Linked DNA regions of Arabidopsis thaliana. The protein of the gene in region 3 binds, or shares a complex with, the protein of the main gene of each other region. Each region holds a gene or a part of one and is shown on either strand. Other genes may lie near its edges. The genes, in order: ARPC1A, AT5G65274, ARPC3 and CRK.

Evidence for each region.
Region 1: ARPC3 (region 3) and ARPC1A share a complex: the UniProt entries of both Arabidopsis thaliana proteins name them as parts of the arp2/3 complex.
Region 2: ARPC3 (region 3) and AT5G65274 share a complex: the UniProt entries of both Arabidopsis thaliana proteins name them as parts of the arp2/3 complex.
Region 4: ARPC3 (region 3) and CRK share a complex: the UniProt entries of both Arabidopsis thaliana proteins name them as parts of the arp2/3 complex.

Annotation. Positions count from the first base shown.
Region 1 is NC_003071.7:13,150,566-13,157,532, forward strand, and holds ARPC1A (actin-related protein C1A), read left to right. Parts: upstream 1-2,223; 5' UTR 2,224-2,332; intron 2,333-2,607; exon of another isoform or gene 2,608-2,673; 5' UTR 2,674-2,881; coding exon 2,882-2,951; intron 2,952-3,321; coding exon 3,322-3,410; intron 3,411-3,605; coding exon 3,606-3,682; intron 3,683-3,785; coding exon 3,786-3,880; intron 3,881-3,996; coding exon 3,997-4,066; intron 4,067-4,324; coding exon 4,325-4,394; intron 4,395-4,629; coding exon 4,630-4,703; coding exon of another isoform or gene 4,704-4,722; intron 4,723-4,790; coding exon 4,791-4,833; intron 4,834-4,930; coding exon of another isoform or gene 4,931-4,954; coding exon 4,955-5,036; intron 5,037-5,171; coding exon 5,172-5,260; intron 5,261-5,354; coding exon 5,355-5,440; intron 5,441-5,597; coding exon 5,598-5,661; intron 5,662-5,860; coding exon 5,861-5,961; intron 5,962-6,083; coding exon 6,084-6,142; intron 6,143-6,236; coding exon 6,237-6,304; 3' UTR 6,305-6,467; downstream 6,468-6,967. Other genes in the region: TBL43 (TRICHOME BIREFRINGENCE-LIKE 43), read left to right, coding at 1-205, 694-871, 962-1,137, 1,226-1,384, 1,549-1,852; COQ3 (coenzyme Q 3), read right to left, coding at 6,844-6,963. UniProt on the Arabidopsis thaliana protein: Functions as a component of the Arp2/3 complex which is involved in regulation of actin polymerization and together with an activating nucleation-promoting factor (NPF) mediates the formation of branched actin networks.
Region 2 is NC_003076.8:26,083,374-26,086,582, reverse strand, and holds AT5G65274 (ARP2/3 complex 16 kDa subunit (p16-Arc)), read right to left. Parts: upstream 1,284-3,209; coding exon 1,186-1,283; intron 1,108-1,185; coding exon 1,035-1,107; intron 991-1,034; exon of another isoform or gene 945-990; coding exon 844-944; exon of another isoform or gene 759-843; coding exon 623-758; downstream 1-622. Other genes in the region: GCL1 (GCR2-like 1), read left to right, coding at 1-454; RABA4a (RAB GTPase homolog A4A), read right to left, coding at 2,033-2,480, 2,914-3,146. UniProt on the Arabidopsis thaliana protein: Functions as a component of the Arp2/3 complex which is involved in regulation of actin polymerization and together with an activating nucleation-promoting factor (NPF) mediates the formation of branched actin networks.
Region 3 is NC_003070.9:22,263,499-22,268,194, forward strand, and holds ARPC3 (actin-related protein C3), read right to left. Parts: upstream 2,579-4,696; 5' UTR 2,334-2,578; intron 2,264-2,333; exon of another isoform or gene 2,251-2,263; 5' UTR 2,185-2,250; coding exon 2,182-2,184; intron 1,985-2,181; coding exon 1,876-1,984; intron 1,801-1,875; coding exon 1,531-1,800; coding exon of another isoform or gene 1,499-1,530; intron 1,442-1,498; coding exon 1,299-1,441; 3' UTR 1,281-1,298; intron 1,159-1,280; 3' UTR 887-1,158; downstream 1-886. Other genes in the region: AT1G60420 (DC1 domain-containing protein), read left to right, coding at 74-745; PANK1 (pantothenate kinase 1), read right to left, coding at 3,155-3,380, 3,486-3,598, 3,694-3,825, 3,922-4,015, 4,090-4,184, 4,274-4,393. UniProt on the Arabidopsis thaliana protein: Functions as a component of the Arp2/3 complex which is involved in regulation of actin polymerization and together with an activating nucleation-promoting factor (NPF) mediates the formation of branched actin networks.
Region 4 is NC_003075.7:733,874-737,829, reverse strand, and holds CRK (ARP2/3 complex 16 kDa subunit (p16-Arc)), read right to left. Parts: upstream 2,178-3,956; 5' UTR 2,055-2,177; coding exon 1,966-2,054; intron 1,884-1,965; coding exon 1,811-1,883; intron 1,741-1,810; coding exon 1,640-1,740; intron 1,516-1,639; coding exon 1,380-1,515; 3' UTR 865-1,379; downstream 1-864. Other genes in the region: AT4G01703 (uncharacterized protein), read left to right, coding at 3,465-3,578. UniProt on the Arabidopsis thaliana protein: Functions as a component of the Arp2/3 complex which is involved in regulation of actin polymerization and together with an activating nucleation-promoting factor (NPF) mediates the formation of branched actin networks.

The DNA.
Region 1 (6,967 bases), on a different chromosome or scaffold from region 3:
GTGCGAATGGTTCATCATTAGGGCTACCACCTAGAAAGTTTTGTAATATTTATCAAGGAAGTTGGGTCTATGACAAATCTTACCCTCTCTATGATTCCAAGAATTGCCCTTTCATCGAGAGACAGTTTAACTGCAAGTCCAATGGTCGCCCTGACAGCGAGTACCTCAAGTATCGATGGCAACCTTCCGGTTGCAATCTCCCCAGGTGATTCCATCTTTTCTTTATGGTATTTATAACGTTTTTCGATATGTAGATCTAGTGCGTTTTAACTTTTAAGGCATGTAACTAGTCATAGGTGAATTGCTATGAGTACCACTATACTTCAGGACGACTTGGGCATCAACTAGCATTGTATCGGAAAATTTCATTTTCAAAAACGTCTTTAGTATTTCTTGAGGGGGATTAATAGGTTTTTAATTAGGATTTATTATTGGATTCAAATCCCCTTTTATGTCGCATATAAGTTCATATGTAACTATGTAAGAATGTTATAGAATTTAGTAACCGAAGCAGCTGGTACATAAATCCATAACTATCATTTATTGGAATAAAACTGTTACAAAGACAATAAGTCACAAAATGTTACAAATTAACGGAAGTACCCAACCATTTTGTGGTAAATTATTAAACGTGAATATTTTCTCCTATGAATGATATAGAAGTGTTAAATTGATTAATGATGAATGGTGCAGATTCAACGGCTTAGATTTTCTGGGAAGGATAATGAAAGGGAAGAAACTGATGTTCGTAGGAGATTCACTGAGTCTAAACCAATGGCAATCTCTCACGTGTTTGCTCCACAACGCCGCACCAAAAGCCAATTCCACATCCACACGTTCCCCTTCTGGCCTCTCCGTCTTCTCATTCCCCGTAACGTTTTCTAACTTTATCAAACTCGTTCCGGTATTGATCCGGTTTAATAATTCTGGTTCGGTTCGTATTTAAATGCATGCAATGCAGGCTTACAATTCTTCGATTATGTTTTCAAGAAACGCGTTTCTTGTGGATATAGTCGGAGCCCCACCGAAGCGAGTGATGAAGCTTGACTCAATCTCGAGTGGTTCGTTGTGGAAAACCGCAGACGTTTTGGTCTTCAACTCTTGGCATTGGTGGCTTCACACAGACCGAAAACAACCGTAAAATCATCTTTATGTCGTCAAACATATTTTGCTATGGACTATGGACTTATTAGTATCTAACTAATGTAATCATTTGGGGTTGCAGATGGGACGCAATTATGTCCGGGAATGTAACGGTTAAAGACATGGACCGGTTAGTGGCATATGAGAAAGCAATGATGACTTGGGCTAAGTGGATTGATCAAAATATTGATCCTTCCAAAACCAAAGTCTTCTTCCAAGGTATTTCTCCGGACCATGGCCGGTAAGTTCTACCTCTATATAACTTCTTTTTTATTCGATACATACATTAAATCAACGATAAAAACTTAACACGATTGATATATGTTGGATTAGTCTATAAGTTTTCGTTAGAACCAAATAATTTCATGTTGATATTGTTAACAATAATGGTACATAATGTTACAGGGCAAGGGAATGGTCGAAACAAGGTGGCAAAGGCAGTTGCATAGGAGAAACAAAGCCGATTATGGGATCGAGTTACCTGGCTGGGCCGCACGCAGCCGAGATGGTGGTGGCGAAAGTGATAAAGACGATGAAGAATCAGGCGCGGTTAATGGATGTGACATTGATGTCTCAGCTAAGGAAAGATGGACATCCTTCAGTATACGGTTTTGGCGGTCACAGAATGGCGGATTGTAGCCATTGGTGTCTCTCTGGAGTCCCGGATAGCTGGAACCAGCTCTTGTATTCTGAGCTGTTTCATTCTTAAAATTTTGATGGTTTTGACACAAAACTAAATTCATTATATGATTTATACATTTATTTATGACCTAACCATGTTTGTGTTGTTTTACACATTTATTTTATGTCATAAACATGTTTATTTAGAATTTCAAATTCATTTGTCAACCAAAATGTTTAAATGAGAACAAGATTCTTTGACTGGTCGAACAATTTATAAGAGAAGAATTTGCAAGAATATAACCTTATGATCTCGTTATAATTGAATGGACTAAATATGTGTCCTGAATCTCTAAGTGAGAGATTAGAGGAAGACCAAAACTAGAAGTAAACCTTATTCCACGAGAGGGGATAACTAGCGTAGCTTATATAATAACTTTGTACAATGATTTGGGGTTAAGTTATTTTTGGATTATGCTAAATCAAAATCTAATATAGTGGTGCAAGCCCCTTGACTTGGGTCAATGATTCAAAAGCTTATACAAAAAAAAAAACGAAAAAACTAATAGTAAAACATTACTTTAGAAAAAAGTTACTAATCAATATTTTTTTAAAAATTTCAGATTACTTTATAAGTTACTCTATACTCATAGACTCATAGTGAGATATAGTTCTATTTTTACATGGATGAATTGGATCGAATCCATTTATCTACATTAATGTATTTAACTAATGCAGAACTTAAGCCTTTTATCGGAAAAAACAAAAACAAAACTAATGCAGATTACAGAACTATAGATTTAAAAATAAAAATAATTCGATTTTTTCCTTATTATTATGCTGGTTTGCCCAAAAATAAAGGTCCAAGTAAAACTGAAATTGATCTGGTCATAAAAATTGGGGCTTTAGTAAAAAAAAAAAAAAAAAAAAAAACATCTGTCTCTTTCACTTCACGTTTGCGACTGTGTCGTCGTCCACCTCCGGATCTCATCGGCGTTTCATCATAATTATCTGTCCATCTATTCACCGTACGACTCCGTTTTAGGAATCTGTGGATGTCAATTTGAGAGAAAAGACTGTCTTCATTACAACACATTTGGGACAACAAGGATCACTCATGGCAGTGGTGGATGTTCATCGTTTCGCTGAGTCAATCACTTGCCATGCTTGGAGTCCTGATCTCTCCAGTATGTTTCTAACACCTCTCTGATTTTGTGATTCTCTTCTTTCTCTCTTCCGTCGTTTTTTCCGTTTTAGAATTATAAATGAGGAGGATCTATCTATAGTTAGTTTGGCTGGGAAGATAGATAGATGATACAACTAAATTGACTTGTGTTATTCTTATACATCTTGGTAATCAAATTTCTTCGAGTCAATGTTTTATATGTCTGTTTGTCGGTGTCTCTTGTTAGGAACACTTGGTATCTAGTATTGTACATTAGTAGATGCGCTTTTCTAAACAGATGAACCAAATCTATTGTTACAAATGATTTAACGTCTGTACTAAAGCCTGTAACCATTTATGTGCTTTGACATTTGTTTCGTTTTTCTTGGTAGTGGTTGCTCTCTGTCCTAACAACACTGAAGTTCATATCTATAAATCATTGTCTCAAGACCACTGGGAGAGGTTACATGTCCTCCAAAAGGTGAAACCTTTCTCTCTCCCTCTCTTTCTGTAACTTTTGAACTTGCATTCCTTTTGCTTTCTCTTCTTGGGAATTCCTTACTTTCGTATATTTATGTATTCTCATTTCACTGATCACTTGTCGCTGATAAGTGTTGTATAGACAGCTTGAATCTCCCTTACAACAACTTCATGATTATTGTTCGTCTTGTTGCAGCATGACCAAATTGTTTCTGGAATAGATTGGAGCTCAAAGTCCAACAAAATCGTCACTGTTTCTCATGACAGGAACTCGTAAGTTGCTACCTTTGATATACTTTGAGAAACTCCAAACCTGTTAATCTTAGTCCTTCACTTTTTTTCGTTCGTTGAACTGAGTTTAGAATGCTTCTTGAAGGTACGTCTGGAGCCTGGAAGGAGCTGAATGGGTACCAACTCTCGTTATTCTTAGACTAAATCGTGCTGCACTTTGTGTCCAATGGAGCCCCAAAGGTAAATGTTTAATTTTTCTGGTTCTTAAGCTTAATTTCCGTAATATGTAGTGTAATTTTCCTATAATTTCTACAGCTTCTAATCTATGTTCTCATCTTTTTGCTCAATACCCATAGAGAACAAGTTTGCTGTTGGAAGTGGTGCTAAAACTGTTTGTATTTGCTATTATGAGCAAGAGAATAACTGGTATTTTCTTCTTCTGCTCCTAATTCTCATTATTAGTCCTTGATTTTTTCTTTGGCAAGTTTCCTGACTTCTTTGCTACGAATGGTGTTGTTGGTCTATGTAATGATATTATTTTGTCTTATGTACTGGCATGATATTAGCACCAATCATATTTTTTATTATCTTGGCATGCATAACTGTGTATTGTTTAGAGATTTTAGAAAGATACTTTCATGTAAACTTTTAGTATCTGACATTGCTTGGCTTTACTGTTTTCAGGTGGGTCAGTAAGCTAATCCGGAAAAGGCACGAATCTTCAGTCACATCTGTTGCTTGGCATCCTAATAATGTACGTGCAATCAACAGAACCTCTTGTAGTTCATGTAGTTAAAATAATAAGCAGGCTCTCTGTAAAAGCATTCTCTACCAAAAATATTCTATAAGTTGGCCACCAGATTGAGTATAGAGTACATGATCCCTAAAAATAGAATATCAATCTCCACAAACTAGTTAATCTTCTAAATCATTTTTTCTCGTATGCTTTTTTATGTTGCTGTGCTCTCTGATTGTCTGTTATGCATTAGGTTCTTCTGGCAACGACATCAACAGATGGAAAATGTCGGGTATTTTCAACATTTATCAAAGGAGTTGACACAAAGTATGCTCATTACTTGAACGTCTACTTTTAAAACATTTTTTCAAACATGAGGCCGTTTCTTATTTGTCTTTCAATGGGCTGATACAGGGATTCAAAAGCAGGCTCACCAGCGGAAACGAAATTTGGGGAGGTTTGACTCGTTTGGCTGGCTTTCCTTCTTTTAGTAAATAGTATACCACTTCTGCCATATATATGTTCCCTCTACTCACTCTCTTATCTAATGTTAGGGAGCTTTTTTTCTGTTGAAACAGCAAATTCTTCAGCTTGATCTCTCATATTCTTGGGCATTTGGTGTTAAATGGTCTCCAAGTGGAAACACCTTAGCTTATGTAGGTCAGAATATCCTTAAAACTTAAGATGTTTGTCCATTGAGCTCTACTGGAATTATAAAAATGGAACTTCACCTTGGTTGCATAATTTTTACTACACTCCGTCTCACTTCCCTTGTTCATGCAATCTTGTTTATAGGTCATAGCTCCATGATTTACTTTGTTGATGATGTTGGTCCTTCTCCTTTAGCCCAAAGCGTTGCATTTCGAGATTTGCCTCTTCGTGATGTGGGTCAGCATCCACTCTTTTTTTTCTTTTGAGAAAGTGTTCTCATGTGTTATATCCTGAATTGATATATTATCGGGAACTTGCTATCTTCAGGTCCTGTTTATTTCTGAGAAAATGGTGATAGGCGTGGGATATGACAGCAACCCGATGGTATTTGCCTCAGATGATACTGGAATATGGTGTGTAACTCTTAGTTTTCTCTTTCTTAGCTATTTCCAGACAATCAAATACTTCAATTCATTAATTCTCCTTAGCTCTCAGGCCGGATAGTTATTTCTGAAATCATCCACACACCGATGATTGCCTTGTTTACAAGTTTTTGTTTATGGTCTGCAGGAGCTTTATCAGATACATCGGAGAGAAGAAAGCAGCATCTTCAAATTCCAGTTACAGTTCGCAGGTACATACCATGTTTTCTTTCTTGAATAAAATATGAGTGAACTTAGCTTATTCCTGAAGTGTTCCTCTAAGATAGTAGTAATCTTTCGGGTTAGTGTAGTTGCTCCTTTTTTCTCCTTGGGTTTACTACTTTGAACTTTCCACTTGCATTATTTGTACTGTTTTGTCTAATCCTTTTTTTCATTATGTTATCTTTTCAGTTTTCTGAAGCATTTGGAAAATTCTACGGCAGTCAATCAAAGTCCACAACAGCCAACGATGCTTCTGAATCACGTGGAGGTGTTCATGATAACTGCATAAAGTAATTATTTCTTAAGCTAACTTTTCTTTTACCAAATCATTTGCCAGAAACCTGCCTCATTAACTCTTTTACTTCGATTGTCTATTAAGAACCTGACATGGAAGGTTACCTGAAAATTGCAGTTCCATTGTGTCTCTGAGCAAAGCAGGGAGTCCTAAAGTAATGCGATTCAGCACTTCAGGTCAGTCACTAATACAAAATGGAATTAGCCGATTCAGTTCTCAAAAAACAAACCAGCAGTTTCATTTACTCGCATAACGGTTTGTTATTTATAGGATTGGATGGCAAAGTTGCCATATGGGATCTGGAGAACATGGAACAAGAACTTGGCAATCAGTTTTAATAAACACACAAATAAAACAATTCTGGCTCACAAGCAAGGTTTTACTTAAGTTTAAACTACTTTTTCAATTTCGTAATTGTTTCACTTTGTAAACTGCCACAATAAAAGGCCTTATTTTCTTGGTTTGTGTAAGGGCAGGTATTAATAAGTTTCTTGGCTTCATGATTTGATTCATTTAGTTAGCATCTTGTAATACCTTTTATATATAGTAATATCAGCTTTGTGTCGAAAGGAGTCCATATTGAACCAAACACAACAATTTCGCAAAATTTTCAAGTTCTTGAGAAGAAGCAAAAAGCTTTGGTCCTCCGAACTATGCCATATTTACCACAAAACGAGATATCGACAAACATTAATCTTCTATCAGATGACAGAAGTGTGATTCAGAAGACCAAATATTCTTTGAATGTTTCTCACTTATTGCAAAACAACTACTGTCCTCGTCCTAAGCAACTTCCAGAGTACCTAGTTTTTAAAGCATGAACTAGAGTTGTAACTCAGAAGCAGATATGCAGAGAAACACGACTTGGAACGATTGATTATATGTCTCCAAGATCCTTCCTTTTCGTCCCATAAGCAATATAGTTGACACTAATATCATCTGACAATAACCATCTTCCTGTTATTGGGTTGTACACAAATCCAGCTATCTCTTTCACCTGC
Region 2 (3,209 bases), on a different chromosome or scaffold from region 3:
TAGGTTTCCGAACAGCGGAAACTACCCGTGCAGCGAAGGGAATCCGAGGGATAAGCTAGTCCAATGGGCTCATGGAGCAACCGGCATGGCCATTACTTTGGCTAAAGCATCTCAGGTGTTTCCCAAGGAAAGGGATTTCCGCGAAGCAGCCATTGAAGCAGGAGAAGTAGTGTGGAAGAGTGGCTTGGTGAAGAAGGTAGGTTTAGCTGATGGAGTTGCTGGTAATGCCTACGCTTTCTTATCCCTTTATCGCTTAACCGGAGATGTTGTATATGAAGAGAGAGCAAAAGCGTTTGCGAGTTACTTGTGCCGTGATGCGATAGAGCTCGTGAATATGACAAGCCAAGAAACAGAACATGATTATTCGCTATTCCGGGGACTAGCTGGACCAGTATGCCTCTGGTTCGATCTTGTGTCGCCGGTAGATTCTAAGTTTCCTGGTTATGAGATATAATTTAAAACCAGGTAACCGTAGGTTCTTTTATGACTATCTCTTTGTGAAAGGATCTTAGGTTCTCCGGTTTATTCCACTTTCTATAATCTATTGAAGTAACTTGAGATTTGGGAGAAACATTCATAGAAAACAAGAATAAAAGTAACATGAAAAGATCAGCTTAATGGTTTAAACGGTATTGGTAGTATCACTCAGACAACGGAGAATGCAACCGAGACCAGCTCTCTCTGTTAGTTTCTCGTGAATCATCAAACACTGTTCGCATGTGGGTTCGTCACCAGTCGAAAGACCTCTGTACAAGTACCTGATCCACACCATTTAAGCAAACAAAACACTGCTTCCACATCACGCTAATTAAAAGCTAGCAGAGCAAAAGGCAAGAGACTTACTTCATGAGAATGTCGTAATACTCGGCAGTAAGAGAATTTAACATTCCTTCGATATCCTTTATCGCCATGATAGCTCTGTGCACAACTATCCAATTAGCTGACTGCAATTTCACAGATATTTATCATAAATTACACAATCTTTTTGATCATGAACAAACTACTTATGTGCATGGTAGAGGAAACAGTAGGACCTTGCAACGTTCGTCGAGAGTTTTAGGTGGCGAACCATCAAGAGCCGTTTTAAGAGCTTCGACATGTTTGTAGCTGAATAAAACGAAGTAACAATTATAGCCTAGGTCATCTGAGAAAGTTGGAAGAAAAAAGGAACTTTAGGGTTATTACTGTTTGAGTAAGCTTTCAATCTTCTGCGATTTGGTTTCGATCCTTGCCATTATTTCCTCTGCATTATCAGCTTCAACAAATGCTGCTGCACCAGCCATTGGATCTCTCTCTTTCTCTACACTCTCCAGCAAAATTATCTAAAACCTAATCAATTAATTTCATTTCTTCATTCAAATCGACAACTTGCTGCATAAGAAACATATGATTTGAGTTTACTAACCAAAGGAGGCAATGCAAAACTTGTCATCCCCATAAAAAGCTAAAAAGAGAAGTAACAATCACGACAAAATCAATTCTAATCACGTAAAACAATCCATTGCCGATGGTACGCAGATTTCTCACATCATATCAGATCAGTAATCCTGAACTTTCTGATCAAATCATACAAGATTGAAGAATCAAGCAGGATTCGAAGATTACCTGAAATTAGAGAGAATAAAGCAATCGAGTGGTAAAACGGCCGAGTGAGAATTTATCAGAACTGTGATACCAATTATTAAAATCGGATGCTTCAGTTTTTAATTTTTACTTTTTCACATTGACGTAACAAGAGAAATAGAAAAGTTGTTATTGCTGGTATATATTTGTAATTAACAAAAATGTAACAATAATCTTACAAATGTAGAGAGAATAAAAACATGTTGATCAAATTAATATCCAATTTTTAAGATCAAATTAAGATCGGTTTGTTATACTTGGATTCAACACCCCAAAACCCCACAAAAACTGCTCATTAAGCAACAAATGAATCACACAGCTCTAGATAGGAGAAATATCCCAATCAGAGTCTTTAAAACATCTATATATTGTTGTTATCAAGTAACATTCAAGAATTGAATTGGTTTATCTAAGAGTTACAACACATGTTACTCTTGTTTGGTATCACTTGACCAGGACCTGGAACAATATCAATCTTCTTACCAGCAAGCGACCCGGGATTACCATTCTCTTGATCTTCACTCGCAGCCAGACTTTTCTTGTTCACAATGTTGAAGATCTCAGTCAAAACCGTGGAGAAAGCGCTCTCAACATTGGTTGCGTTAAATGCAGATGTCTCCAAGAAGAACAAACCTTCTTTCTCCGCAAATTCTTTCGCATCTTCTGTCGGTATAGCTCGTTGATCCACAAGATCTGACTTGTTCCCAATAAGGATTATCACAATGTTCTTATCTGCATGAGCACGTAGTTCTTCTAACCATCTTGGGATATGGTCAAAGGTTTGGCGTCTGGTTATGTCATACACCAACATCGCCCCAACCGCTCCTCGGTAATATGCACTTGTTACTGCTCTGTATCTGTTTCAACCAATACCACACATATAGAAAGATATACAATGTAAGCATATGATAAGCATGAAATGTGGTGGTTAGCTTACTCATTAAAGATCAGTGAATGTATAAAGTTGATGAAGCATCACTGGGAAATGTATAACAAAAGTGTCCAAATTTGTACCAATCATAAAATTATAGAAGCTTAATAACATTGGAATAGTAATATACATAATTCTAGTCTATACATAATTTTGAAATCCCAATCCCAAATTCTCAATGATTCTACCATTTTACTTCAGATCCTCCCAATTTCGTATACAGATCAGTAAGCTTTACTAGAATTCGAAATCCTAAGCAGACCTATCATCTTCCAGATCTAGAGAAACAGTAAAATCTTACGAGATCTAAGTTCAAGCAATTGAAGTAGCTAAAAGTTCCGGGAGAGGTCGGAGATTACCGTTCTTGGCCGGCGGTATCCCAGATCTGAGCCTTAACACTCTTGTGATCGATAACAAGCGTCCGAGTCTGAAACTCAACGCCGATGGTGGCCTTAGAATCCAAACTGAATTCGTCTCTAGCATAACGAGCCAGTATCTGTGATTTCCCAACCGCGGAATCGCCGATCAACACCACTTTGAACACATAATCAATCTTCTGCGACGGATCTCCGTATCCTCCTCCACTAGTCATCTTCTTCAACGTCTCTCTCTCGCTAAATCCTCTCTTGCTAAATCCTCTGTTTTAAGCTTTTAC
Region 3 (4,696 bases):
CTCTTCATTTTCTAAACACTGTTCTTCAAGGCTGATCTGAACCAACCTGTAAAAATTTGGCTTTCTTTGTTAGGTGCTTGTTTCGGATCTGGTGGGGAAGACTATTCTTATGTACTTCTCAGCTCACTGGTGTCCTCCTTGTCGCGCTTTTACACCAAAGCTTGTTGAAGTATACAAGCAGATAAAGGAGCGGAATGAAGCGTTTGAATTGATCTTCATCTCCAGTGACCGTGACCAGGAATCATTCGATGAGTACTATTCGCAAATGCCGTGGCTGGCTCTTCCATTTGGTGATCCTAGGAAAGCATCCTTGGCAAAAACCTTTAAGGTTGGTGGGATCCCAATGCTAGCAGCTCTGGGACCAACTGGGCAAACCGTAACAAAAGAAGCAAGGGACCTTGTCGTAGCCCATGGAGCCGATGCTTACCCTTTTACTGAGGAACGTTTGAAGGAGATTGAAGCTAAGTACGATGAGATAGCAAAAGATTGGCCTAAGAAGGTGAAACATGTTCTCCATGAAGAACATGAGCTAGAACTAACTCGTGTTCAGGTTTACACATGCGATAAGTGTGAGGAAGAAGGGACAATATGGTCTTACCATTGCGACGAATGCGACTTTGATCTTCACGCCAAGTGTGCTTTAAACGAGGACACAAAAGAAAACGGCGATGAGGCTGTGAAAGTTGGTGGCGACGAGTCCAAAGATGGTTGGGTTTGTGAAGGAAACGTATGCACCAAGGCCTGATAGGTAGCTTCAGGCACAGTTATGTCACTATGTGTATGCAAAGCTATTTCCTTTCTTTGTATAATTGCTAAGAGTGAGAATGTGTGGTTACAATCTGATATCTGATTAAGACCTTGGAGATAAACTCTGTTAATCTAAAGTAATAATAAAAGAATCTTCTTATTTAACTTTGATCTTGTATCAACAAATTTTATATTCCAACAGGAGTTGTATGAAACAATACATTGGCACACTCTATGTATATATCAAGAGATACAGAGAGAGAGCATTCTGCTCTCAGATGAAATTTTCGTCTTCCTGGTTCCAGTGGCTAACACCTATGCAGAGGAAGCTAAAGGTGGCGATTCTCATGATCTCCAGTGGCTTTGGATTCCCTCATTCGTAATGGGCAGCAAGCAAGGAAGAATAACCAGCTGCTAAATTATGAAAAAATCAGATCAAAAGAAAAACATTTTAAGCTTGAAATGTAGAACTGTTTGAGATGGATCTAAGATCACGTGGGATTTTGGATCCAGTAAACTAAAGTGATACTTACCAGTGATTCTCTGTTTTATCATAGGACGACCACGTTCATGAATTTCCTCTTGGCGAATGCAAGCCACCATTTATTTGGTGTCCCGTTGGCTCTATATGCTACACTCAGTAACCTCCCACTTGTCTCCTCTCGAACCTGCTTAAGATAGTTCCTGAAAAGCTCTGACATTTGAAGCCAAACAGAACACAAGGCTAAGGACCAAGTAACTGAAAGAAAAATCAATAAGAGTTGTTTAGACATGTATATATACCTGCTTCGTCCTGGGACTGCGGAAGCGAAAAGAGACCTGGGAAAGGAAAGCCAGTTTCTCCAGGAACAGGAATATCTTCTAAACCCAAGTTGATAATCGCTTTAGTTCCAACAGCCAATGTTCTACAGCCTTCAAGCCTCTTTAACGCCACATTTATATAAAACGTCAAGTAAATAAGGAGCTTATCAGCAGGACTTTTGATATCAAAGTTTGTGAAGAAGACATTAGCACGAAAGAAGGTGATTGCCTCGTCTACTATATCAGTTTTATCTGCATATAAAACCAACAATTTACAAAAGCTTTCGATCGCACAATTGAAAAAAATCACATGTTTTGATTAATTACCTTGTTCTGAAACAGGTGCAGGACCTTTTATATGACTCTTGAGAGGAAGCAATGGACAACCACATGCCTTTGTTACTCCTTCTTCATCCACAAAACTCGAGTGATAAACCTGATCAGAGCATTTAATCACAAGGATTAAGGAAACAAAATGAGCATCGCAGAGTTAAATACTCCATGGAACCAAATCAAAGTGAAACAAGCTCAATAAATAAAAAAAATCTCATCGAAGATCTAATCTAATTTCATTAGTTACAAAATGAAATGCGATTAATGCTAATTGAAAGATAAGAAAATGGTGATCCGTACCATTTTGTGCCGAATTTGAACAATGAAGCGATATCAGGAAGGAGAAGAATCGAATCGAAGGTAGATCTGCTGCAATTAAGATCTTGGATATATAAGAATCAGAATTTAGGTGAACGATTGATTCTATAGATGAAGAAAGAAAAAGTTTTTACCTAAACGAGATCAGATCAATTTCAACTTCTTTAGCGTCTACGAAAGAGGAAAGACTGCGTAAAGTTCACACGGTGAAGAATCCTTCGTGATGTTGCGGCGGTCGGAGATTGTCTTATTGGGAAGCTTAATCGCCGGCTGAAGAAGAAATTGAAATGGAAAATCGACGAAGTAGGAAAAAGGAATGAAGAACAGAAGAAGAAGAAGACAGAGAGGTATGGATGACACGTGTAAGACTCCATGAATGTGGTACATTGCTTCGTACCGGGAGTAACCAATGTTAAATCCGGCTTAGCTTTGATTTTTGAGTTTCTCGGTTTTTTTATTTGAAATTTGGTTTCTTATCGACCACTGGAATTAGGTACATCAAAAACCAAATAATGATGTGGTTCATTCTTCGGTTCAGTTTCGGGTTACATCAAAGTGGTTTGACCGGATTAAACATTGATCTTCAATCAACAACAACAACAAAATGTCCATATAAGTGTCAAGTTTCTGTTATTTCTGCTGAATGGATAAAAACTTGTTACATAAGCAATATACAAAACTTAGTAAACAAAGGCTAAACAGAAATGCACAAATACTTGCAATGCACCGGACTAAACCGAGATTTAAAGAAGCTCTAGTGAGATTTAATAAGTGTGTTTGATTCTTTGTGTGATATATAGTACAAGTTACATTGGTCATACATGAATATTAATACGTGAATCATCTTACATAAATGTGTCTAACATTCAACAAACTAGTAATGAGCAGCTCTTGACTCAAACAGTTGATTAAACATATTTCTACACTGAATTGATAATAATACAACTGGTGATAACTAAACTAAATTGATGCTACATTCTATGGTCTCGCTTTCGTTTAAATTTGAAGTTACTGGGATGTGCCGAAAGTTATGACCTGAACAGTTGAGAATTGCTCTTTGCACAGTGTGATGATGCGGTTTTAAATCGTTATGGCTCTGGTCATTGTAGCTCGTGAAAGCGCCTAATGCTCCAAGAAACCCTTCATGTCGTAAAAACATTGCCTTTGCCTCACCTCTCGACCTGAAATGAGAAGGAAAAATGAGAAAGTTCGATAAAGATTTTGTGGACATACATGAGTTTAAGATATGGAGGGATTTGATTAAGTAGTTTCGGTTTTGGATTTACCAAAAGTGAACAGCAACGGAGATTGTGTCCATGGTGTACTCAAGCCCACGGATGAAAAATCCACCAAAGAAAATACGCTTAAGACCGAATCTGAGAGCATTCAAATAAGCAATCTGGAGGGAGAGTAGAAAACGTTACAATTCGATCAGAATATCATCAGCTTCAAATTATGTTTTAAAATGGCATTAAAATGTTCAGAGGAACTGACCTGACCGATGTTATTTGATATCATTCTTAGAAGGGACCTTGCCACATCTTCTGGCTGGTAATCTTCAAGTTCTTTACCATCAGAAATCGCTTTCCCAAAGCTGGAAGCGATAGCTGTTGAGGAGAGACCAATCTATCAAAAAAGAATGAACAAAAGGTTATATTAACATATGAATCTAATCTAAAAGTCTTCAGACATGTTTAAGCAAAACCAGGATCAATCAATTACCTTTGAATAATCTGTTCCACCGTAGATATCCCCCACAAGCATGTCAATTACTCTGTTATTTCCATGGTGGCTTAACTCTAGCAGCTCATCAAAACTGAAATTAAGAAATATTAGTTGTTACTCAGGCAAGGAGGAAACTTACATTAATAGACTTAACTAAGAAGTCACCTCTTGCATTTTGTTAAAAGCTTCCCAAGACCTAAAAATGTGCCTCCGCCAAGGCTTGTTCCACTTATCCTCTCATATTTTCCATCTCCATCGACCTATATAAGAACGAGTTTGAGTAAGCAACATCGCTGGTGTAGTAGCAAACAAAAACAGAGAGATCAGAGAAACCAAAACCAGAATGAACCTTGATCATGCTAACGCCAGAACCGATGTTGACTAGTAGATATGGATACAAATCATTATGGTCGATCTCGACAAACTTCTTTTGGCCATCTAAGTAGGTAAAAGCTTCCCTTGGGACAGTCTGCAATCATGCAATAATCTATTGTTAATTTAAAATGGCAGAAATAAGAAGTTTATCAAAAACTATTCTGCCACAGATGCTTTTAATGCAATGAAGAAACTATCGGTTAAAAAACCTCAGGGAGCACAGCTCATTTAATCAAAATTGCAAATGATCACCATCTTCAAATTTATAATGTCCTAAATGTTAATGTAGCTATATTTTCAGTCTTATAGACGTTAGTCTGCAACAACACTCAGGCCAAGATCACTATCAGGGAAACATAATACAACTTCACTCATAAAGAATTAGCAAAAAGTGTTG
Region 4 (3,956 bases), on a different chromosome or scaffold from region 3:
TTTAAACGTTTATCACAAAAACACTTATCTATTTCTTTCTAAAGACATCATTTTTTTTATTGGTAATTTTGAATTTTAGAGAAAACAATTTGTAATTAGCTGACAATTTTTTTATATTGTTATATATCTTAATATTTTTGAAATATCAAAAGAGGATCATCAGATTTATTGAAAATAGGTTTTCAAGAGTTCATCTGGAACTACCGGATGCTATAAATAATAAATAAAAATTGTTGTATTTGGAAATTTTTTCATGTGAAAGCAACTACTATTTCTGGGATTCCCTTTTGTTACTACTACTACTCAATTACTCATTTAATTTGATCAAAAAGACTGTAAAAGTAAAAACTTAATTGCTTTTGTCTTTTATAAGGAAACGTTGATCAAGCTGATGCTTTGGCAAAAGCTGCTCTTGTTTCTTCTTGTACTAACGTTGATAAAAAAAAAAAAAAAAAAAAAAAAGATCTAAACTTTTATTTAACGCTATTTGACATTTGAATTCAACCTGGTTTATTACAATCCTATAAAATTTTAAAAATCTAAAGAGTAAAATTGTTTAAATCAATGACTAACTATGTGAACATTTACTCTTGTATGACGAGTGCATTTACATTGAAAGTTTAGAAATGAATTTAGTTTCAATGGGCTGAGTTCGATATTGGGCCTTCGAGTTATGAACATTCAGTGAATCAGGAATGGTTGTATTCAACTTGTGATTTGTAATTTTTTTCTCAAATCCTTTGTTATTGAAATTGGAATTTATATAAAATCACTCAAAAGAATCTATAATCTTCTGTTATTCATTCAAGAATTTATAAAACACATCTTAAATCCACTGTTATCTAAACTCAACAAAACAATTTCATTAAAAACATTTAACATTGATTCTGGGAGACTTAGGCAAAAAAATTTAGTTGAAAATAAGCATGAAAAAATCTCACCTGTAGGTGTTATTCTGAACGATTTGATTTAAAAAAAGATTCACAGAAAATCTCTGCGACATATTCTCATTGTCCTCCTCCCCTCGTCTTCCATGAAAAAAGCTTTCGGTCTCTGTTCTTCACCGGCAAAATCGAGAATGGATTTGGTCTGTAGAAGAATGCAAATTCCACCAAATCTTCTAAAAGATTCTGGTTTCAATACACCCCCCTAAAATTACTTAATCACAACTTGGTCTTCGTATTTATGATTCAGCTGATCCGGGAATTATGTTACACATGAGCTCTAGGAATGACTTGTGTTATCATTTATCAAGCAACTGTTTGGTAATGAAAATACAAGTCTAAAACTGATAAATGTGAGACATGGTTCCTCAAGGAGAATATGCACATTGGAAACATCAAGGCATCAAGTAATAATACATAAGAGGGAATGATGGATCAAACGGTGTTGATGGTATCAGTAAGACATCGGAGAATGCAACCGAGACCAGCTCTCTCAGTGAGTTTCTCGTGAATCTTCAGGCACTGATCGCAGGTGGGTCGGTCCCCAGTAGAAAGTCCTCTGTACAAGTACCTGAGAATTTTAAGCAAAAACATTCTATCAAAGAGCACAGACAGCCTGAGGATAGAGCTTTCCAATTCATACATATTACAAAACGCATTACAGCAAAAAAAAAAAAAACCAACTTTGCACTTACTTCATGAGAATGTCGTAATATTCGACATCAAGAGCATTGAGCATTCCGTCAATATCCTTAATGGCCATTAAAGCTCTGTGCACAACTATCCAATTAGCCGACTGCAGTTGAGTTTTTTTTGGCTCAGTAAATCAAAAAAAAAAAAAAAGATGGTTTCGGAAAGAGAGAGACCTTGCAACGTTCATCGCGAGTTTTCGGAGGCGAACCTTCAAGAGCCGTTTTCAAAGCTTCTACATGTTTGTACCTGCACACATTAAAACACCGATAAGGGATTAAACCAAAAACAAAAGAAGACTTTAGGGTTTAGCTCCAAGGTCTGATATTACTGTTTGAGTAGGCTTTCAATCTTCCTCGATTTGGTTTCGATCCTCGCGATTATTGCTTCTGCGTTATCAGCTTCAACGAATTCTGCCATTCTTCGATTCGATCTTTCTCTCCGATCAGAGATTTCCCCTCTTTCCCTTCTTTAATTGAAAAAATGAGAGAGAGAGAGGAAAACAACTCAATCGCCATTTGACCATTTCAAAAGGGAACTGAGTGCCGTTTGTCTTGGCCTTAAACGGCACGTAGTCTTAAATGCTTATGCTGCCACTGAATGATGGATGATGGAAGCTTCATTTTTTTTTTCATTTTTTGTCAATAGGATTTTCATCGATAGGATTCAAGTTGAAATACAAGAGCCGGCAAGTACAAACCACTTCCGGAGACATAAGCCGATGAGTACAAGAACACTCCCGAAGCCAAATACCAAACAAGGTAAACAAAGGGAACAAAATCCAAACAAACCAATTACACTATATTCATTGAAATTTCCTCGATCAGGTTCTAGAAATCCAAAAAAGACTTACAAATCCTAAGTCATAGAAAATTAAAACAAATCTGAGACTAAAAAAGACACACAAACGGGTTACAATACAAGAATCTCCTTTTCTTTCTTGGTATAACAATTTTTTTTTTATTATAAATCTCTCTTATAAATTTTTAATAGTAATATTTGTTGGACCGAATTTTTTATATTTATACTAATGAACTTTTCTTTACGATTTTGTTACCATTTTGGTATCATTTTTACGATTTTAATTTATTAACCTCCTTAATTAAAATCGCAACCTATTCTATTTTATTAACACAGGTCAAAATATATTTTTTTCTGCGCTCGACCCTAATATGTTAACAAAATGGTTGTTTCTGCCCAAATCTCATTATATTTGTATGGATAGACGAAGAGCATTTTGATAATACTCTTTTGGAATGTTTCTTTATCATTCTAATTAGGATCCTACATCGAAAGTATACTATAAATGGAGTAAACACACTCATGACTGCTAAGTGCTAACACTAGTATATATGGAACACAACCAATCCAATCATTACCCATTGGTTTTAAATTAGAATCTGATGAAACTTAACATTAACTTTCTCTAATCATTAATGATATTGGTAGTCTTATAACAAATATATTGCCAAGATTCGGTCTAAGACCACTTGATAGAACTATGTATAAAACTTCTTTTTTTTAACTGCCAAACCTATATAAAGTGGACGTGTAAACTAAAGCATGGTGATCACTTCACATCGCACCAATGTAGTGGATCTAAACGTCTCTTTGTGTAATCACGTGGTCGAATTAATGGTCAATCATTTAGCAATTAACCAAATTTGAAATAACATCCGAAAAAAGTCGGTTTAGTGGGAGGAGAAGTGAGAATGATGTTTCATGAATGCTCGTTAGGAACTCTTCGAAAGACGATAACCTCGGATGGATGTTTATGGTGTCGGCTTCTAGTGGTTAAACATAATTAGATCGTCTACTGAAAAGTTGGAGATGTGGTTGAGAAACTCGTACCCTACATATGGTTACTCGTCTGCTGGTTTAATCGTTGGGATTGATCGTGTACTAGTCTTTCTTAAAGGCCAAGAATTTTGTCGTCGTAGTTAATATATGTTGGCGTACGTTTTACTGTTTTTCTTGAGAAATAATTGGATCTTAAGCTTATTAAAAAAGTCGTCACGACTTGGTCCAACTCGTACATATCACAAGTTGCTCGGCGCTTTTCATGTTAGTTAGCCACCGACCTCGAACTTTGAAATTTTATATTTTTTAACTTCAAAAACAATTCTTTGATAGTTTTGTTTTCATTGCTAATATTTCTCTCAATTTTTTTTTATTGTTTTTATTTTTGTATAGAATAGTATTCAAAATGAAACTATAATTCAGTATGGAACACTTTCTGTTTTATTTAATATTTACTTCATAATGAATTATGTTTCAAATTTTCAAAGAATATATTTATATTTGAATTTGGTTAGTACCTTC